Linked DNA regions of Sus scrofa. The protein of the gene in region 3 purifies or fractionates together with the protein of the main gene of each other region. This does not show direct contact. Links are inferred from orthologs where the notes say so. Each region holds a gene or a part of one and is shown on either strand. Other genes may lie near its edges.

Region 1 (3,517 bases), on a different chromosome or scaffold from region 3:
CTATTGTGCATATTTCATATCCAACATTCTTATGAGGTAGATTTTCAGAACCTCAAGTACACAGAGCTTAAATTTATTATCAAGTAAGTAAAGCTAAAATTTATCCTACTTTTTATATTTTGCAAAAGAATGTATTGACATAATGTACTAGTCATAATGTCCAAACTGACTCTAAGTTGGTTTTTATAATCAGTGAAGATACTTATTCCAAAAACACCATTAAAGTAAATATTTCACTTCTTTACCATAAGTATTTTCTTAAGAAGGTAAATATGCCAATTAGGTAGGATTCTCATTATCACCACCAACTGTAATCTGGTAGCAAAAAATGGCTCTGTTCAATGTCAAGAAACAAATACTGGAATTCACCAAGAAAGTAAAAAGAATAAGAGAAACTATGTTAACCCCTCTAGCTTCACAATCCTTCCCACCCCACAGTTCATATATATCAACCATCAACCAGTTATTGAGCTACTCTTCATCTAGTTCAGAAAACTAAAAGATTTGAACAGTGAATTCACAGCAGTGCCTTGCTGCCTAATATCAATAAAATTTAATAAAACTGTAACTCTTTGCTAAAATTTTAAAATAATATTCTTTGGATGCTCACTGTAAAATGACCTTTGCAGTTAGGTATGATGTCATCAAGTAAATAAATATAAAATCTTAAGCACATACTTCTCTGGTGTCATCTGCGATTACAAACTTTTTGCATGGCTCCTTTATTTGGTCTTTAAGTTGATTAATATTTTTTTTCACAGTTTTAATGGTAAATGCATCAAGATTGGCACATATCTGGAAAAGAGACAGGTTTTGATATTCAAATACTTTTCCCTTTCAATTAACTCAATGCAGAAATCTTTCTCATGTAAGAAATAGGTAGCACAATTTGCTAAATATAGCATTTTAATATTGCCTTACTGTGGATCTGATTAGCCAACAAAATCTACCCTGATAGAGTAAAAAGATGCTTTGAAATTGGGTTGGCAGAAAATTCCAGAAAGAAATATATTTATTTACATTCCTTAAATTTCACTTTCCAGCTGAAAAAAACGATGTGGAGAGAATACAGCAAATTGCAGAGATCAGCAAGAATGGTTATGAGATAACCATATTACATGATGCATTTTAAAGGTCATCTTGATATCCATGGATCATATTATCACTTTCTTCCACACATAAAAGAGGATACTACAAAGCTAGGAGCAGCTGAAGCCCATGTGCCTGAATTTGAATTGCAGTTAATCCTTAATACTAGTAATAAATTATATGTTCTAACCAATAATTGTGCTTTTGTCTACTCTATATGATTTTCACTGACTTCAACTTAAAGTAAGGGCTTTAGCGCTAACATACTTTGTGAATTACTCTGAATTCTTTCAGTGCTTGAGATCAACAAAAGCACTGTATATATTGTTACCATCTGCAGGCAGCTGACAAGATATAGACTTTTGGAGTTCCTATTGTGGTACAACAGTACTGTTGATGTCACTGAAGTGCCAGGATGCAAGTTCAATCCCTGGCCTGTGGGTTAAAGATCCTGCATTGCTACAGCTGTGGTGTAGGTCACAGCTGTGGCTCAGATCTGATCCCTGGTCCAGAAATTCCATAGGCCACAGGGCAGCCAAAAAAGAAAAAAACAAAACAAAACAAAACAAATTTAAAGATTCTCATATCTCCATTTTCCCATTTAATTTGAATTACCTAGAATCTGAGAATCACACAGAACAAAAAAAGGCTCAGAAGAAAATATGCAATTCTAAAACTCATGGAGTATGTATGAAATTAGAAACTTTCTTAGCTTATGCATATTTCTATATAAAGTAGATCATTAAGTTTAAAAATAGGAGTAGATATTTAAAGGAAGGTATTTCATTTGTCCCAATTTTTTAATACTTACGTTTGCTCTCTATAATTTGGGGGCTATTATTCCATGTCATAGTTATTTACTAAGGCATATTTCTATTTTGTAGAAGACTGAGTGTATTTACATTAACTAAAGCATATAGATTTCGCTCAACTGATGATCATGGAATAGCTTCTTTCCTGCACTCCATGGCATCTGGACCTAATCTTACCCAAGAAGTATTGGCATTTGCTCTAACTTTGGTTTTTCTGGTTATGAAGAAAGTTAATGACTTACTTTTAAAATATGTTCTTCAGCTTTGGCTTGCTTTTTGGCTCCCCCAACACCTGGTGAGGCTGTTAGTCCCAATATCTGAGGTAAGGGAATCACTGGTTTCTCTTCTTTCTTGAGTTTATTGTTTTTCAATTTCTGTTTCAAATAACGCCTCATGATGTTATTATAGACTGCTTCTTTGTTGGTGTGATGGCATTCGTCAATGATGATGAGAGAAAAGTCTTAAAAAAAATTTAAATGGTTTATTTGCCCATACTGACAAAATACAGTTAAAAAAGGCTCTTTTAGCTGGTAGACTGAGCTGCCTTGGAGATGTATTTTCTTGGGCAGAATACTGACACAAGCAGTTTTTACTTTTTAAGGGCAAATGCAACTATCCTAGCCACCTGTAAATACATAAGTTCATGTACAGTAATCAGGAAATTATCTCTGTTAACTATTATGCTCATTTAATAGATGAGTTTTGGAAAATTTATAGATCTAAAAAGTGTTATGGCATGGATTTCAAACTCTGGCTTTTCCCCCAAAACTCTCAGAAATGCAATTTTGTTTTTTAATAAAATATATAATTTTAAGTTGGTGAATTTTATTTTCATTCTATCAAATGAAAAACACTATTTAAAGAGGAATCATTTTACTTTGTTTAAACTTTGCATTTAATTATTATGAGTATATATACTTCTTTCTCTTCCTCTTGCCTAACTTTTCTTCCCATCCCCCACAAAACAGAAAAGATTATATTTACTCTCTGGAGAAGAAGGCATATCTAACAGGATCCACTAACATATAAAAAGAACTTAGAAATACAGAATTAATGCAAAGTCTAGAAAATGTTTGATTTAATAATGATGTTCTGGAGTTCCCGTTGTGGCTCAGTGGTTAACGAACCCGACTAGTAACCATGAGGTTTTGGGTTTGATCCCTGGCCTCGCTCAGTGGGTTAAGGACCTGGCGTTGCCGGTAGCTGTGGTGTAGGTCGCAGACGTTGGCTCAGATCCCATGTTGCTGTGGCCCTGGTGTAGGCTGGTGAGGCTATAGCTCTGATTGGACCCCTAGCCTGGGAACAACCTATGCCATGGGTGCAGCCCTAGAAAAGACAAAAAGATGGAAAAAAGTGATGTTCTTATGCAGAATAAAGTGATCTGACTAAAAACGTCTCCAGTTTTTTATTTGCTTTCACAAGGAAGAAGGGTTTTATTGAAAAAAAAATGGAAGACAATCTAAATCATAATTAATTTTTAAATCAACATTTTAAAAACTAAGAAATACAGCTTCTTTTACTACCATTAATATTACTACTAATTATCTTTCCAAAAATAAACATTTTAACCAACCTGACAGCTGTACACCAGGGTCTTCTCCTTCTTCTGAGTTTAA
Region 2 (4,273 bases), on a different chromosome or scaffold from region 3:
AAGCGTGTAGGGCACACAAATAATCCAGTGACAGACTCCAGCTCCAGACCCTGCAGGCTGAGGAAGCTGAGGCTCCACACCAGGCTGAGAAGGGCCTTTCTGCCCCTACTTGCCTTCTGCCTCCTAGACAAAAACTTCTAGAAGGGCTCTTCTTTTTTTTTTTTTAGGGCCACACCAGGAGCATACGGAAGTTCTCAGGCTGGGGGTCTAATTGGAGCTGTAGCTGCTGGCCTGCACCACAGCCACAGCAATGCCAGATCCGAGCCACATCTGCGACCTACCCCACAGCTCATGGCAACGCCAGATCTTTAACCCACTGAGTAAGGCCAGGGATCGAACCCATGTCCTCATGGATACTAGCTGGATTCGTTACTGCTAAGCCATGACCGGAACTTCCTAGAAGGCCACTCCACAGGAGCCGGGTTGCCCTAGAACTCAGGCTCACACACCCTGAGGCAAAGAGGATCCAGGCAGCCTGACACCGTCCACACAGCAAACTCTCTTCCGGGCATTTCTGAGCAGCTTAAACGATAACGGCAGCTCTACAAAGCATTCACTGTAAAACGCAGCTTATGGGTCGCCTCATTCAATCCTCCCGGTAGCCTTCTGAGATAGGTATTGCTATTGGCCCCTTTTATGAGTTCCCAGCTAGGAAGCAGAGCCAGAATCCAAACCCAGGTCTCAACATCCAGCTCTGGTCACAGCCCATGTTAAGCAGCCTGACCCGTAGGGCCTGCCTACAAAGCACTTCCCACACAGCTCAAGACGACCCAAAACAGGGGAGGGAATGCTAGGAATCCCATTTTACAGATGAAGAAACTGAGGCTCAGAGAACGACAGGGACTTGCCCTGAACCACCGCTAGCAGGGCAGAGCAGGGCTCCAGGCTCCAAAGACCAGCCAGGGTCTTCCCTGCAGCAGGTGGAGACCTGGGTGGGCCAGACCTGAGATGACTGTACCTCCAAAGTCACCGGCCAGGCACTGCCTGAGGCCTGGTTCCTGGGACTCAGGGAGAAAGTCCACAGGAACCCAGGGCAGACTGGAGAAGCAGACCAGGCCAGGGGTGGGCTGTGGCCAGTTGGGAGCAAGGCCTGCACCCAGGTCCTGGTGCCACAGGGCTTATATCTCCTTTGCCAGCATAAGGACAGCCCTTCTTGCTCCCCTTAACAAGTCCTCATGAGAGAAAGGAAATCAGGCCTCACTTTTGAGCTTAGATAACAAAACTTTGCCTACACCTTTTCAGCCTCTGCCTTGAGTCCACAGGGAGAAATTATGATCCCAAAACCACTGAAAGCATCACAGATCCAAAAGCCCTCTTAAGAATCCACCTGGCCCCACCTCCTCGCTTTAGGAATGAAGACCAATCCCGGACTGAAAAGTGGCCAGGCAGGAGAGAGGGCTCTATGGCGCAAGAGTCTGGCTCTCCCTGTGCATCATATCCAAGAATTCCTGGGACGCTGCCCACCCTTCCACTCAACACGATCCTCCCTGGTCACTAGAAGTCTCTGGCTCACCAAAGGCTTTTTCGCACATGACCCCCAACAAACCTCCAGAAGTGTCTCACACTCTGAATGTTGCGGACTTGGTTTTGAGGCTGGTCCATGGGGAGAAAAGGCAACTGTGGAGGCAGCCCAGATGGCAGCTCAATTCCCCCTTGGCCACTTGGGTTAGCTCAGGCTAAATGACCTTCTCTGAACCTCCACTTCCTCAGCTGTAAAATGGAACTCATGGTACCCACCTCCCAGGTGCTATCAGGATTTATTGAGAGAACAGAGGTAACCTCCAGCACTATATCTGACCTTCAAAACCCTCTTCTAAACATCATCAGACAAGTGCTAGGCTTAAGGCAAGCATGAGTCTTCAGTGGTTCCCTTTGTAAAATGGGTGAGTGGGGTGGGCATAGGGGAGGTGAACCCGGAATGAGAGGAAGTTTGTACCTTCTCCCAGCCCCTTTCTACCCTGAAACCCCCAAGCCCCTGCCCCATCTCAGGCCCAGCAAGGCCCCTCCCTCGCCCCGGGGTGATCCAAGGTAGCCCACTGTGGTGCCCTCTGCACAACCCAGTAGCCCCAGGCTGCCCCTCTGTGCCCTGGGCCACCACTCCTACCTCCAGGTCGGTGCTGGCCTGGCTCAGGGGTGCAGGCGAGCAGGTCTTGTGCTCCACCAGGCAGACGTGGCAGATGCACTCGCTGTGCTCAGGGCAGAAGAAGTCTCGAAGCCGGTTGTGCTGGGGGCACTTGCGGCGCATCAGGTCTCGGACTGGCGGCTGCAGCGGGTGGTCCCGGAAGGCGGGGCTGTCGAGGTGCGGCCTCAGGTGTTCCTGGCAGAAGGAGGCCATGCACACGAGACAAGTCTTGACGGCGGTCGCCTGTAGGCAGTGGTCACAGGCCACTTGGCCGGCCGGGCTGGAGGCGGCGGCGCGGGCGGGCGGCGTCCAGCCATCGCTGTCGAGGACCGCGGGCCGGGCTTGCTCGGCCTGCAGGAACTGCTCCACCACCGCGCACAAAACGGTGTTCTTGCGCAGCTGCGGCCGCGTCTCGTAGCCCGTGCGACACTGCGGGCACAGGTACGGCGGGCCCTGGACGGCCCACGTCTCATCCAGGCACAACCCGCAGAAGTTGTGGCCGCACGGCGTGGTGACCGGCACCTTGAAGGGCTCCAGGCAGATGGAGCATGACAGCTCCTCGGCCAGGGGGCACAGTTCCGCCATGGCGCTCCGTGAGGGGACCCGACGTGACGCGCGGGAACTGCCGCGACTGCTGCGCTATCGCCCCGATGCCTCCAAGGAAACGAAACTGAGCTGCAGGAGGGGCGGTCCCCCGGCCTTTCAGGAAGTCACGTGGGGTAGGGTGGGGTTGAGCGCGGAGGTGGAACGGGCCCCATGGGGTCCCGGGGCGGGCGGGGTCCAGGGGTCGCTGAGGTCCGACTGGCGACGTTCGAATCCCGGTGGCTCCCGCGGAGTGTGGGTACGGGGCGCTGGGCTCAGGGTTTCAGACGAGACTCTGGACCACCAGGGGGGATCTTACGGCCCCTCTGCGGATGAGAAAACTGACACGTTGCGTGGAGAACCCGGGATCCCAGCAGTCAGGGGACTGACTACAGCACAAACGCGCCTGGATCTGATCCGTTCCTTCCGAAAACTCGTCCAGACCCAAGTTGTCCCACCGCCCCCGCGAGCAAGGCTGTCTCATCAAGACAGGTCTTTCAAAAATAACTGTGGGAACAGTAAAGTATTCGCTGCCTTTTCTTATTTAAAAAAACCCCATCCTTCCTCTTCCCTGGTCCTGGGCTCTGGCATATCGGCCTTCAATCTCTGCAGGCAGGGTCACACCCGGGGGTAATGTCAGTAGAATCTGTAGTAATCACCGCTCTCTCATTCCTGATCTAAGTAATCTGGGTTTCCCTTCTTTTCTTAAGCCATCTAATAGATTTTATGGATTTTATTAATTTTTTCCAAAAATCCAACTTTTGGCTTCTCTGCTCTTTTTTTCATTGATTTCTTCTCATGTCTCTTATTTCCTTCTATTTACTTTTGGTTTAATTTGCTCTTTTTCAAATTCGTTAAGTTGGCACATTGGATCGCTGCTGTTAAACTTTTTTCTTTTCTAATATAAATGTTTACAACTATAAATCTAGATTGTCAATCTCCCTTGGCCTGCAGAAGTTACAGCGCCAGGGACTGAATCTGCACCACAGCTCTGACAACGCCAGATCTTTACCCTGCTGCACCACCCAGGAACTCCATCCACAAGTTTTGATATATGTGTTTTCATTATCATTTCACTCAAAATATTTTTTTTTTTTTTTTTTTTTTTTTTTTTGCCTTTTCTAGGGCTGCTCCCGAGGCATGTGGAGATTCCCACCCAGGCTAGGGGTCGAATCGGAGCCGTAGCCTCTGCCTCCGCCAGAGCCACAGCAACGCGGGATCCGAGACGCGTCTGCAACCTACACCACAGCTCACGGCAAGGCTGGATCCTTAACCCACTGAGCAAAGCCAGGGATCGAACCCTCAACCTCATGGTTCCTAGTCGGGTTTGTTAACCACTGTGCCACGACGGGAACTCCCACTCAAAATATTTTCTAATTTCCTTTGTTATTTATTTGTAATTACTTATAAGGAGATGGCTTCATTTCCAAATATTTAACACTTTCCTGGGTATCTTACTGTTACTGATTTCTAACACAATTCTATTTGAGCCAGCTCTACGACCTAAGATGTTTGTCTTTTGAAATAGGTTGAGACTGACAGGATGTTAATATCTCCGATATGATAACA
Region 3 (3,517 bases):
TAGGATCCAGGGGGACCCCAGCACCCCACCTGTAGGGGACAGCCCGGGGCCACTCACTGCCTCGGAGTTCCAGGCAGAGGAGGAGTTGGAAGAGGGGTTGGAAGAGGTCAAGACTGAGGCTAGGGCTCCGTGGGTTGGGGTGGCGGTGGTTGGGGTGCTTCTGGCCACACTCCTGGCCATGCTGTACCGGCGGCGCCTGCCCCAGTGAGGCTCCTGGGCCCTGTCCACCACGTATCTGTTCCCTTCTCCAAGATACATCTGCCTGAGCCACAGAGCCAAGTTATCCCAGCATCCCTGACCCTTTTGTGGAGCTGGCAGAGGCTGGGTCAGAGGGGAGGCAGGGGGCCCCAGGCTTAGTCCTAGCAGGGAGCATTTCGGTCCCATTGTCCTCTGTGGCTCCCCCACCATCCTTGGCTTTTGGGGACCCGTGCTGCCCTGGGTGCTCCAGACCATCTGGCCATCTGGGTTGTTACCTTTGTCCTCTGGAGGAGGTGCCTCTGTCCCAAGTCCAAGGATCAGGAGGTGCAGCTGGAGACCGCAGGGCGTCAACAACATCCGCTGTCCTGCCCTGATCCCTGGCAGCCCACAGCAGATGGGTGGGGCAGGGGGCCCCACAGGACTTTGCTCCAGCCCCCAGGGGCCCCAGGAACAGCATGGTGGCCCATCTCTAAGGACCTAGTCCCCTGCCTCCCCTGGCACACAAGGATGGGAGGAGGTCCGGAGAGTCCCATGGACCCCTGGGAAGCCTGACCAGCTGCTGGGCCTGAGAACCACCTAAAGAGCCCCTCTCCAGCCCCCGTATCCTGGTCTCTCTTCACCTCCCTATGGGGGCTGGGGAGGGAACACCTGCAGGGCAGAGCTCAGGCCAAGGTGCAGATTTCGGCTCCACCCCTTCCTGGGCTGTGTGGCCTTGGCAGCTCATCAGACTTCTCTGGTCTTGCTCACCCATGTGGACGGTGAGTGTCATGCCTTATCCTTCACTGCCTTCTCCTGAGATTGAAGCCTACATGTCTTTGTCAAGTGCCTGGCTCAGAGCAGGTGGCTGCTAAATGCTTTTCCCCATCTCTCCCTGCCCGGCCTGGTGGAGATGAGGGGTGAGAGGCAGGGAGCCAGGTGGGTAAGGGGGTACCACTGTGCTGTAGGGTGGCCTAGGTCTGCATCCCGCTCTCACTAATTCTGTGCTCTTGGGCAAGATATTAACCTCTCTGTGCCTTAGTTTTCTCACCTGTAAAAAGAGGATGAGTAGTGGAATTTTATATATATAGATACACACGTCCTAGTGTCATAAGGATTAAATGAGTTTATCTATTTAAATCTTAGAATGGTTCCTGGCATTTCATTGACTAAGGGTTGGGTACATGTTTGTCACTATTCAATGTGGAGGGACTGGAGCACTTGGCTACACCGTTAGAAGCAGAGCCAGGCCATACGCCTATGTCCCTTTTATATTTGCCCCTTCCTTTGTCCCGGGCACTGGGGAATTACTGGGGAGGGAGGTCTATCCACTGGGGCAATTCTGCAGGGTGGGGGCTGGGGTGCTCCCCAGCAACCAGATGGATTGGGGGGTACCCTAGTGGGTTCTTTTCAGGCAGCCATTGCTGGACAAGGGGCAGGGACAGGGGCCTCGGGAGCTCCCTTCATTTCTGGGCTCTGCAAGCAGGACCAGAGCCCTGAGGAGACATAAGGGGTGGGCGTCCCTGGGACCCGCCCCCAAGCTGTCAGTCTGCAGGGTCCTGCACCCTGCTTGGGCTGCTACAGCCTTTCTTTGCACTGCCCTAGGGGACCTCAGCAGCCTAATGACCTTGGCTTCTACCTCTAGATTTCTCTTCAACCCTCTCCAAATGGAACAACCTGCACCCTGAAGCTAGGAGTGGTCCCTACCCACGCTGTCTGCAACCACTCCCTATCACCCTTGCTCTTAACCACCCCTCTGTGCTCCTTCTTCACTCCCAGGTATCCAAGTCAGGGAACAATTCATGCACAGGTACTGGTTTTAAAGTGCTACCCTCTCAAGGTGGCTTGGGAACAAAGTATCTCGACAGCAGTGTGTAGACCTAAGGGATGCTACATAAATGGTAGGATTTCAGAATTCCCATCATGGCTCAGAGGAAATGAATCCGACTAGGAACCATGAGGTTGCAGGCTTGATCCCTGGCCTCGCTCAGTGGGCTAAGGATCCAGCATTGCTGTGAGCTGTGGTGTAGTTCACAGATTCAGCTCGGATCTGGCGTTGCTGAGGCTGTGGCGTAGACTGGCAGCTGTAGCTCCAATTAGACCCCTAGCCTGGGAACCTCCATATGGGGGCAGCTCTAAAAAGCAAAAAAAGAAAAAAGGTAGGATTTCAAGTACGGTGACCAGCCAAGGGGGAGATACTTTTTGGATAAGGTGTGTAGAAAGCAGTCAGGGATGTACCTGGTCCTTTGCAAATTATGCTCCCCAGAAGCCCTGACTTGGCCTGCATCGAACAGCACCCCTATTTTGGCTGTTGTTGATCTGAAGGCCTCTAAAATGCCAACTTGAAGCAGGCTTGGGAATTGGCCAGTATATGGAGGCCTGTGGCCAGAAGAGGGCTTGGGGGAGTTGATGGGATGTGTCATATCTCAGGAGTCCTGGGTTTCAGCAGCAAGAGGGTGCGTGTGGGAGGGTTCCTCATCCCCATGGCCTGAGTGATGTGGAGGGAGGGAGGACCAAAGAGGGCCTTTACCCCAAGAGGTGAGCACAGCCACCTCTACCTAGAGGCTTGGAGAAGCACCCTTTACCTTTCAGTAAAGGCTGTGGGGCCAGAGGGGCCAATGGCATCCTAAACACTTACAGCAGCCTCACCTGTAGCCCAGTATACATCCGTATTTAAAAAAAAAAACAAAACACCCTCTCCATCTTTTCTCTCTCCTGTTGAAACATTTCCTGCAAAGCCCAAGAGCCACCAATGCTTCTCTTTTGCTGGGAAATAGCTGTCACCTTTGCTTGATGACCCACTGCAGCCAGACTCACATCACATCCTCACCTTGTTTTCCTGGTTGGATGTACTCAGATTTAACTGACTTAGGGGAATTTCTGGTCAAATATCAGCAAGATGCCCTTTCCTCTTTCAGGCTTTGGGTTGGGTTATTCATAGCTTCTTTTGTTTGTTTATCGGCCACGCCTGTGGCATTGTGGAAGTTCCTGGGTCAGGAATCAAACCTGGGCGATGGCAGCAACCCAAGCCAATGCTGGATCTTTAACCCACTGCACCAGAGGAGAACTCCCGTAGCTTCTAAGCATTTTTTTTTTTTTTTATGAAAAACTTTTAAGCTCACACGGTAGAATAGATAGAATAATACTCCCCACTCCATATGCCCATCATCCAGCATCAGTAATTGTGGACACATGGCTAGTCTTTTTGTTTGTTTGTTTTGTTTTTTGTCTTTTTGGGGCCACACCCACAGCATATGGAGGTGCCCAGGCTAGGGGTCGAATCAAAGCTGTAGCTGCTGGCCAAAGCCTCAGCCACAGCAATGCGTGATCCGAGCCACATCTG
Region 4 (3,517 bases), on a different chromosome or scaffold from region 3:
GCCAGAGATCAAACCCTCACCATAGCATCGACTCAAGCTGTTGCAGGGATGACACCAGATCCTTAACCTGCTACACCACAAGAGAATTCCTGTATCTACATAACTGTAATAACTCAAGGATAATGATTTAAAAGGATAAATCACAAATTCTAGTGAGAAGAGTAGGAATAGAAAGGAAGGGTAAGGTGAATTTTTCCACTTTTATTCTATTTACTTCTGTACTGTTTTAATTTTATGAGAGATGTCTATCATTTTTATAGTTAAAAAAATGAAAGAGGTAAAAAACATAAACAGAAGGGAAGGCAATCTCACCTGTTCTGGGCTCATGTATCGCAAAGTTCCCTTTCGACTTGTCCGCTTTTCATCATTTTTCAGGGATGTTACAAGTCCAAAGTCTCCAATCTTTATTTGGTTTGTATCTACTAAAAATATGTTACCTGGCTACAGAAAAAAAAAATTATATTTATAAGTACCAATTTGACAGACTGTCATCAACATCCAAATCATATTTAGTATATTAAGTTTTTATATTTACTTATAAGGCATTCACCTTACACAGGCAGCCCAAAACAGGAAATTTAATATCATCAGTCTTTAAAATGCCACTGAGGAAGTAAGGACTCTTTGGCTGACAGCAGAGGCTTTGGGCATGGCTGCCTTAAATATCTGAAGGTAAGTGGAAGGCGGATTCACTCTGCATGGTCCCAGGGGATGGATCCAGGACTGGATGGTGGAAATAATCACAAAATTTGCTTTAATATATCCTGATCTACTAATTATGTGGTTTAAAAAATGGAATTTAGAGAGTTCCACATCCCAGGAAGTATTTAAGACAGGGCTGGACACTCACTTGGTGGAAATGTTGCAAATATGAGTCCAGGATTTGATGGGGGTTGAAGTAGATGCCCTTAAGATTGCTTCCAGTTTTGAGATTCTCAGAATGAGTTTATTCCCAATAATTCTGCAGAATATCATGTGCAGAATTTCCTGGGGAGGCCTCCTTTATGTCCATTTCTCCAAGTTCCTGATAACCTCTTCACAAACATATCCCCTCTATCCTTGAAGGGATACCAAGTTAAATGGACACATTTTTTTCTATGTGGTTCTTTAAGCAGATTGAAGGAAAAAAAGGGGGGGAGAATAGAAAGAAAAGGAAGAACAAAATGAGGAATGTTCTTCCCATTACATAACTTTTATTTATTTCTTTATTTATTTGCTTTTTAGGGCCACATCCGCAGCATATGGAGGTTGCCAGGCTAGGGGTCTAATCGGAGCTGTAGCTGCCAGCCTACGCCACAACCACAGCAATTCAGGATCCAAGCCATGTCTGCGACCTACACCACAGCCCACGGCAACGCCGGGTCCTTGACCCACTGAGCAAGGCCAGGGATGGAACCCGCAAACCTCAAGGTTCCTAGTCAGATTCGTTTCTGCTGAGCCACGACGGGAACTCCATACACAACTTTTAGAAAGTATTGACCAATATTCCAAAAACTATGAAAACATGAAGGTTGTTGATGAGGAAACTAATATTGTGTCATTCTTGAAAAGGCTACTTTCAATACAATACTGGCCTATACATACACACCAGACTCTAGGAGACAACACTTACTAGAGGGCCTCATAAAGAAAGTGAAAGAGACGAGACCATAAGCCCAAGAAGGCTGAAAGAGGAGCTTCCGAGAACCAGTCTGAAAAGGCTCATGGAGAAATCAGCAGTCAGATTAGAACGAGCCACTGTTAGATTGGAACCCACCACCGATAACACAGTTGGAAAGCTGCTGATGTGTGGGAGTATGGAGAGAAAAATGTGCCTCTGCCTTCCTACAAGTTACAAAGTAGGAATGTCTGGGTTTGCAAGTACAACTACTGGTCCCACGCAAGTCTATAACCTGACTCTGAGAAACAGGAGGTTGCATTTAGGATACTGTCTAAATATATAAGCTGGGTGGGCCAGTCTAATAAGAATATTAGGCTACTTGTTGATATCTTACTAAAAAGAAAAAGAAAATCAATGCCACTTTTAGTCTATTCAGTGATGATATGACTAGGCAAAATGTTGGGTGGTAAAGGATAAAAAAAGTTATAAACTTTATACAGGAGGCACAGGAATAAAGGTTGATGATCAGGTTGAGGCTGTCTTAGGAACCTGGGCCAATTAGGCTGTAAGCCCTCACCCCTAGAAGGCTCTATATCCCTCACCAGTATCTTTAGTCTAGTTCTCAAGATTCTGACAGAAGGTGGTAAAATTTGGTTGACTTTATAGAATAGGGGCATTGGGTAAAGACTGTTCCCTGGCAAAGCCACCAGCAGCAGGTATTTTGCAAAGCATCACAAAATAAGGTGCATGTCTTTGTATGCATCTTCTCTCAGATATCAGAAAGCAGTAACTGTAGCAGTGAAGCTAGAAAAGCTGAAGAAGATGAAAAAGAAGGCTCAGTAGTATTAAAGTTTAACCTTTGAGAATCCGCAGAAATAGAGTGAACATTCTATGCAAAGGCACAGGTACAGGCATTGCAAGATACAGGAGGGAACTGGCAGACCAGATAGCAGAAGCAAGAATCCCATCAGCACCAATCAGGATTTCACTAACTCATCCTGAGGAGGGCCTGGGAGGTGATACCCAAACCTCGGTGTAAATAGTAGAGGAAATGACTGTGTAAATAGATAATTTATTTGCAAATAATTGTATAAATAGATAATTGTGCTTCATTTCTTATTTAACTCTATATTTGATTTGTTTCACAGTGAAAGTATAGTCATTCTAAATGTATCCTTTAGAACGCAGTCCTTACAGCATTCCAACTTTAAAGAACACCTTTAGATACTGTTAAAGAGAGATCTTGGAACCAGGTGAACTCCAACATGAAGGGATCAGACATCCAGCCTCTCAGCAGGCCAGGGAAGCAATACCACTTAAGGGTCATTTTTCCCTACCTAGGCCCAACTATATACATAGAATTTTTTTTCCAGGAAATTGTTTGCTTCGTTTCTCATTTCTGGCTTTTTTAGACAGGTGGGGTAAATTGACAGCCAAGGTCCATATAGACAAGGCACGTCTATCTAATCCAGAGTGATCAGGAAAGGCTCATAAAGGAATTGGGACCAAAGGGGACAAGCAGAAAAGTGTCCCATGCAAGAACATGAGCAAAGGTTGGTGATGGGTTTCAGCATGGCCAGTTTGTGATGTCCGTAGGCAAATCAGAGGGAACAGTGTATGGAGGAGAGACTGAAAGCCTCTTCTGTCTCCCTTCTTTCATTTTGAGGAGGAAATGGGAAACTGTTCATCGAGACCATGAAAGAAGTTAGGAGGCCAGAAGAAAAAGAGAATATGAAGGTAAGCTCTGTGTGCCAAAGTTTAGATTACTATGAATTTCCAATTGTGAGGCACAGATGTCTAACCAAATGCCAAGAAAATTCTAGACTTTGGACCTAAAAAGCTGTGACCGCCTCAAGAGTAAAGACTGAAAACTTGGAGAACCATGTTCCCAAAGCCCCCGTCACTGGAGTCGCTTGT
Region 5 (3,517 bases), on a different chromosome or scaffold from region 3:
CCAACTTGCCCATGGTTCGGGCTGCATAGGCCATCAGGGACAACTTGGAGGGGTCAGTGCTGTCCAGCATCTCCCCACTGAAGTTTAGACGCAGGAAGCTGGTGTAGATGCTTGTGAGGGTCTGGCCGGCAGGCGTGGGGGCATGCAGGAAGTGCAAGGTGGCACAGACAAGCCAGCAGTAGGAGGGCAGGAAGCAGGCGGCAGCGATCTGGTGGTGCCCCTCCAGGTTCCGGGAGAGCATCTCCACCAGGTTGTCATGCTGAGCCAGCGTGGCCGAGACACCCGCTCCCCCAGCTCCGTGCTCGCAGTCTGGCTGGTTGAGGCGGAGCTGGAAGTAGAGCTTCTGTAGGTTGGTATCAGAGAAGCCACAGATCTCGCCATAGCGGCCCACATACTTGCTGGGGATGCGGCCAATGGCAGAGGGCCGGGTGGTCACCAGAATACTGGCCTGGGAAGAGCAGAGTTGAAGGTTAAGAGAGACCCTGGGAGTTCCCGTTGCGGCTCAGCAGCAACAAACCCGACTAGTATCCATGAGGATGTGGGTTCGATCCCAGCAGATTAAGGCTCTGGCGTTGCTGTGAGCTGTGGTGTAGGTCACAGGTGTGGCTCAGATCCTGAGTTGCTGTGGCTGTAGTCCAGGCTGGCAGCTACAGCTCCAATTCGACTCCTCGCCTGGGAATTTCCATATGCCTCAGGTGCAGCCCTAAAAAAGACCAAAAAAAAAAAAAAAAAAAAAAAAAAAAAAAAAAAAGGAGAGAGACCCTGGTGTTCTAATTGCCTCCCTTGCCAGGAGGCCCTGAAGACTGAGTGTTCAAGGATGAAGATGATGATGACATAGTAATTCCAGCTCACACTTATTGAGCACCTACTATGGTCCAGGGCACCACACTAAGCAACACTAAGCACTTCATGTGCAGTGTCTCATTTGATCCCTACAACTTAAGGAGAGAAGAAAACAGAAGCTTGAGGAAGTTCCTGACTTGCTCGGTGCTACACCTGGGAAGTGGAGGGGCAGGATTTGAACTAACCCAGAGCCTACACTCCTTACCCATTAAAGATACAGCTCCAGGTCACAAAAATCCTTAGGGAACAAGGTGGGGACAATGGAGGCAGAGCAAGGGGCACTCACCTCCGGCAACATGTATTTGCGCAGCAGATTGACAATGATGGCAGCTGGTGCCTTTGGCTCCTCAAGGTCACTGCAAAGCCCTGTGTCCGCCAACTGGAAATTGAGGTTGAGATGCTCTAGGCCATGGAGCACAAAGAGGAGGCGGGAGCCTGCAGAGGCCATCAGAGGCAGAATCTCCTTCAGGGGCGTGTAGCGCTGGGCCACCAGTTGGCACAAGGAGGCTGGTGCAGGGCCCAGAGATGACAGGTCCTCGCAGGAGAAGGGGATGAGCAGCTCAAAGGCTGGCAGCCGCCCATAACACCAATCCAGAACCATCTTGCGCACCAGCGTGCTCTTGCCAGTGCCCACTGTTCCGTAGAGCACCACGGTCTGCACCCGGCGCCCGCAGGCATCTGGGTCAAAGAGCTGAGACAGGGCCAGTGGGGGGAGCCCGGCAGAGGGTGGATGATGCTCCAGGGCCAACTCAGCCGTAGGGCGGAGCAGCTCATCGGGGGTGCTCTCTCGGATCACAGGGTCCACGTGGACTGTGTCTAGTGCAAAGGTCGGGCCGAACTGGCGCTCTTCCCTGGGCAGCCGGCTGAACCACTCAGCCAGGTTCCGGCGGTGCTGCTGGATGGCTTCTGGATGGGAAGGCAAGGGGGATGCATCAGGGAGAGGCCCGGAAATGCAGGCGCTCAGGGAGCTGATAGGGTGAGGTGGCGGAGTCAAGGCCCAGCACCAGGAAGGGCTGGGGCCCAGAATGGTGCTGGACACGCAGGACTCCCTCAGACTGTCCGGAGGTTTGGACCCCTGCGGCAGAAAATGAGGAGCCATGAGAAGAGTGGTGGTGAGCCTGGGCTGACTGGCTGCGTGATTATCTGGGTACCATCTTCTGACAGTTAGAGGCAGTGGAGGTGGGGTGATAGATCCCTCCCAGGGCTCTGCACATCAGAAGCGAGCCTTGTGTTGTGGGAAGGGATATGCGGACAGACGGATGATGGGGCGAGGGAGGGTGGGTCCACTGACAGATGATCATGATGACGGTGGATCCTCTATCCTCCTCCTTCCTGCCTGCTTCTCTCTCCAAGCCCTTCTCCCCCGCCCCATCCCCACAGTGAGATCCCTGCAGCCCTTCTCAGGGTGATTGAGAAGCCGGTCCCTTTACCAGTTGCAGCAGCGCCCTGGAACAACAGCCTGTGCCTCCCTGGTGGGGGATCACTGTCCGCTGAGCTTCCGTGGTGGCGTATAAAGGCCCTGTGAGCAAGGGGAAGAGGTGAGCTGGAGCTTGGCTATTGGGCTCGGGCTCCACACAGGCTCAGAGCCCAACTCAAGAATGCCTGGAATGATGGACTTCTGGCCTCCTGAGATCCAGGCCTGACCCTGGACACTCAGGCCCAGAGCCTCTCTGATTCTCACACCCTTCCGAGAGACGGAGGTCTCACCCCAGCCCTCTAGCCCCCCCCCCCCCCCCACTGCTGGCTGCCTGCCTGAAACTCAGGCTGGCCACTGTGACTTGTACAGCGGATGATGTAACCCAACTTCCTCTCAGGCCTGGTAACTGACACTGTACCCTCTCCATCCCCAGAAGGCCAACCTCTCCCCAGGCGGTCAAGTTCTCCTCAAGTCCTAACCCCTCCCAGCTACCCTGCTGTGCCCAGATGTGCTCCAAGGTATGACACCGTGGCCTCACCTAGGGGGCCCAAGGGGTCGCTGCCCTCTAAGGGGCCAACTCCAGTGGATCAGGAAAGGGATACGTTCATCTATGGAGAGAAAAAAGAAGGAAGAAATAGCATCCAGAACTCACCCATATTAGCTCAACAACACATAGACCCCACATCTACATCAAATCCCTCATTAGGAGTTCCCATTGTGGCTCAGAAGAAACGAGCCCGACTAACATCCATGAGGTTCCTGGTTCAATCCTTGGCTTCGCTCGGTGGGTTAAGGATCCAGCGTTGCCGTGAGCTGTGGTGTAGGTCGCAGACACGGCTTGGATCCCACATTGCTGTGGCTGTGGTGTAGGCCAGCAGCTACAGCTCCAATTTGACCACTAGCTTGGAAACTTCCATATGCTGCGGGTGTGGCCCTAAAAAGCAAAAAAAAAAAAAAAAAAAAAAAAAAAAAATCCCTCATTATTTGCTCTCATAGCATCATGTATTGCCCCTTTGTAGTAGTTATTATGCAATTTTTATATTTCATTACGCAATTATTTTATTAACATTCATTCATACATACCCCTTATTCCTCCATGAGAGCAGGCATCGCATCTGTCTGGGTTCACAATTATTTACTTAGAACTTAGCATGGGGTCTGGCACATAGCAGGCACTCAGTAAATATTTGTCGAATGTAAAATGAAATCAGGCAAGTGTTCCTGGACTTATACAGTTACAGGGACCCTCAAAGACCA

The links.
Region 1: the proteins of MAVS (region 3) and IFIH1 purify together in Homo sapiens (affinity purification with western blotting; 12 studies listed by BioGRID and IntAct, with this or other methods). This does not show direct contact. The link is inferred for Sus scrofa from reciprocal best matches to the Homo sapiens genes MAVS and IFIH1.
Region 2: the proteins of MAVS (region 3) and TRIM25 purify together in Homo sapiens (affinity purification with western blotting; 3 studies listed by BioGRID and IntAct, with this or other methods). This does not show direct contact. The link is inferred for Sus scrofa from reciprocal best matches to the Homo sapiens genes MAVS and TRIM25.
Region 4: the proteins of MAVS (region 3) and EIF2AK2 purify together in Homo sapiens (affinity purification with western blotting; 3 studies listed by BioGRID and IntAct, with this or other methods). This does not show direct contact. The link is inferred for Sus scrofa from reciprocal best matches to the Homo sapiens genes MAVS and EIF2AK2.
Region 5: the proteins of MAVS (region 3) and NLRX1 purify together in Homo sapiens (affinity purification with western blotting; 4 studies listed by BioGRID and IntAct, with this or other methods). This does not show direct contact. The link is inferred for Sus scrofa from reciprocal best matches to the Homo sapiens genes MAVS and NLRX1.

What each region holds. Positions count from the first base shown.
Region 1 is NC_010457.5:68,943,637-68,947,153, forward strand, and holds part of IFIH1 (interferon-induced helicase C domain-containing protein 1), read right to left. Parts: coding exon 3,475-3,517; intron 2,362-3,474; coding exon 2,144-2,361; intron 796-2,143; coding exon 679-795; intron 1-678.
Region 2 is NC_010454.4:33,209,633-33,213,905, forward strand, and holds the start of TRIM25 (E3 ubiquitin/ISG15 ligase TRIM25), read right to left. Parts: upstream 2,809-4,273; 5' UTR 2,708-2,808; coding exon 2,105-2,707; intron 1-2,104.
Region 3 is NC_010459.5:31,852,267-31,855,783, reverse strand, and holds part of MAVS (mitochondrial antiviral-signaling protein), read left to right. Parts: coding exon 1-208; 3' UTR 209-3,517.
Region 4 is NC_010445.4:103,075,513-103,079,029, reverse strand, and holds part of EIF2AK2 (interferon-induced, double-stranded RNA-activated protein kinase), read right to left. Parts: intron 442-3,517; coding exon 313-441; intron 1-312.
Region 5 is NC_010451.4:46,387,372-46,390,888, reverse strand, and holds part of NLRX1 (NLR family member X1), read right to left. Parts: intron 2,869-3,517; coding exon 2,799-2,868; intron 2,363-2,798; coding exon 2,274-2,362; intron 1,750-2,273; coding exon 1,130-1,749; intron 449-1,129; coding exon 1-448.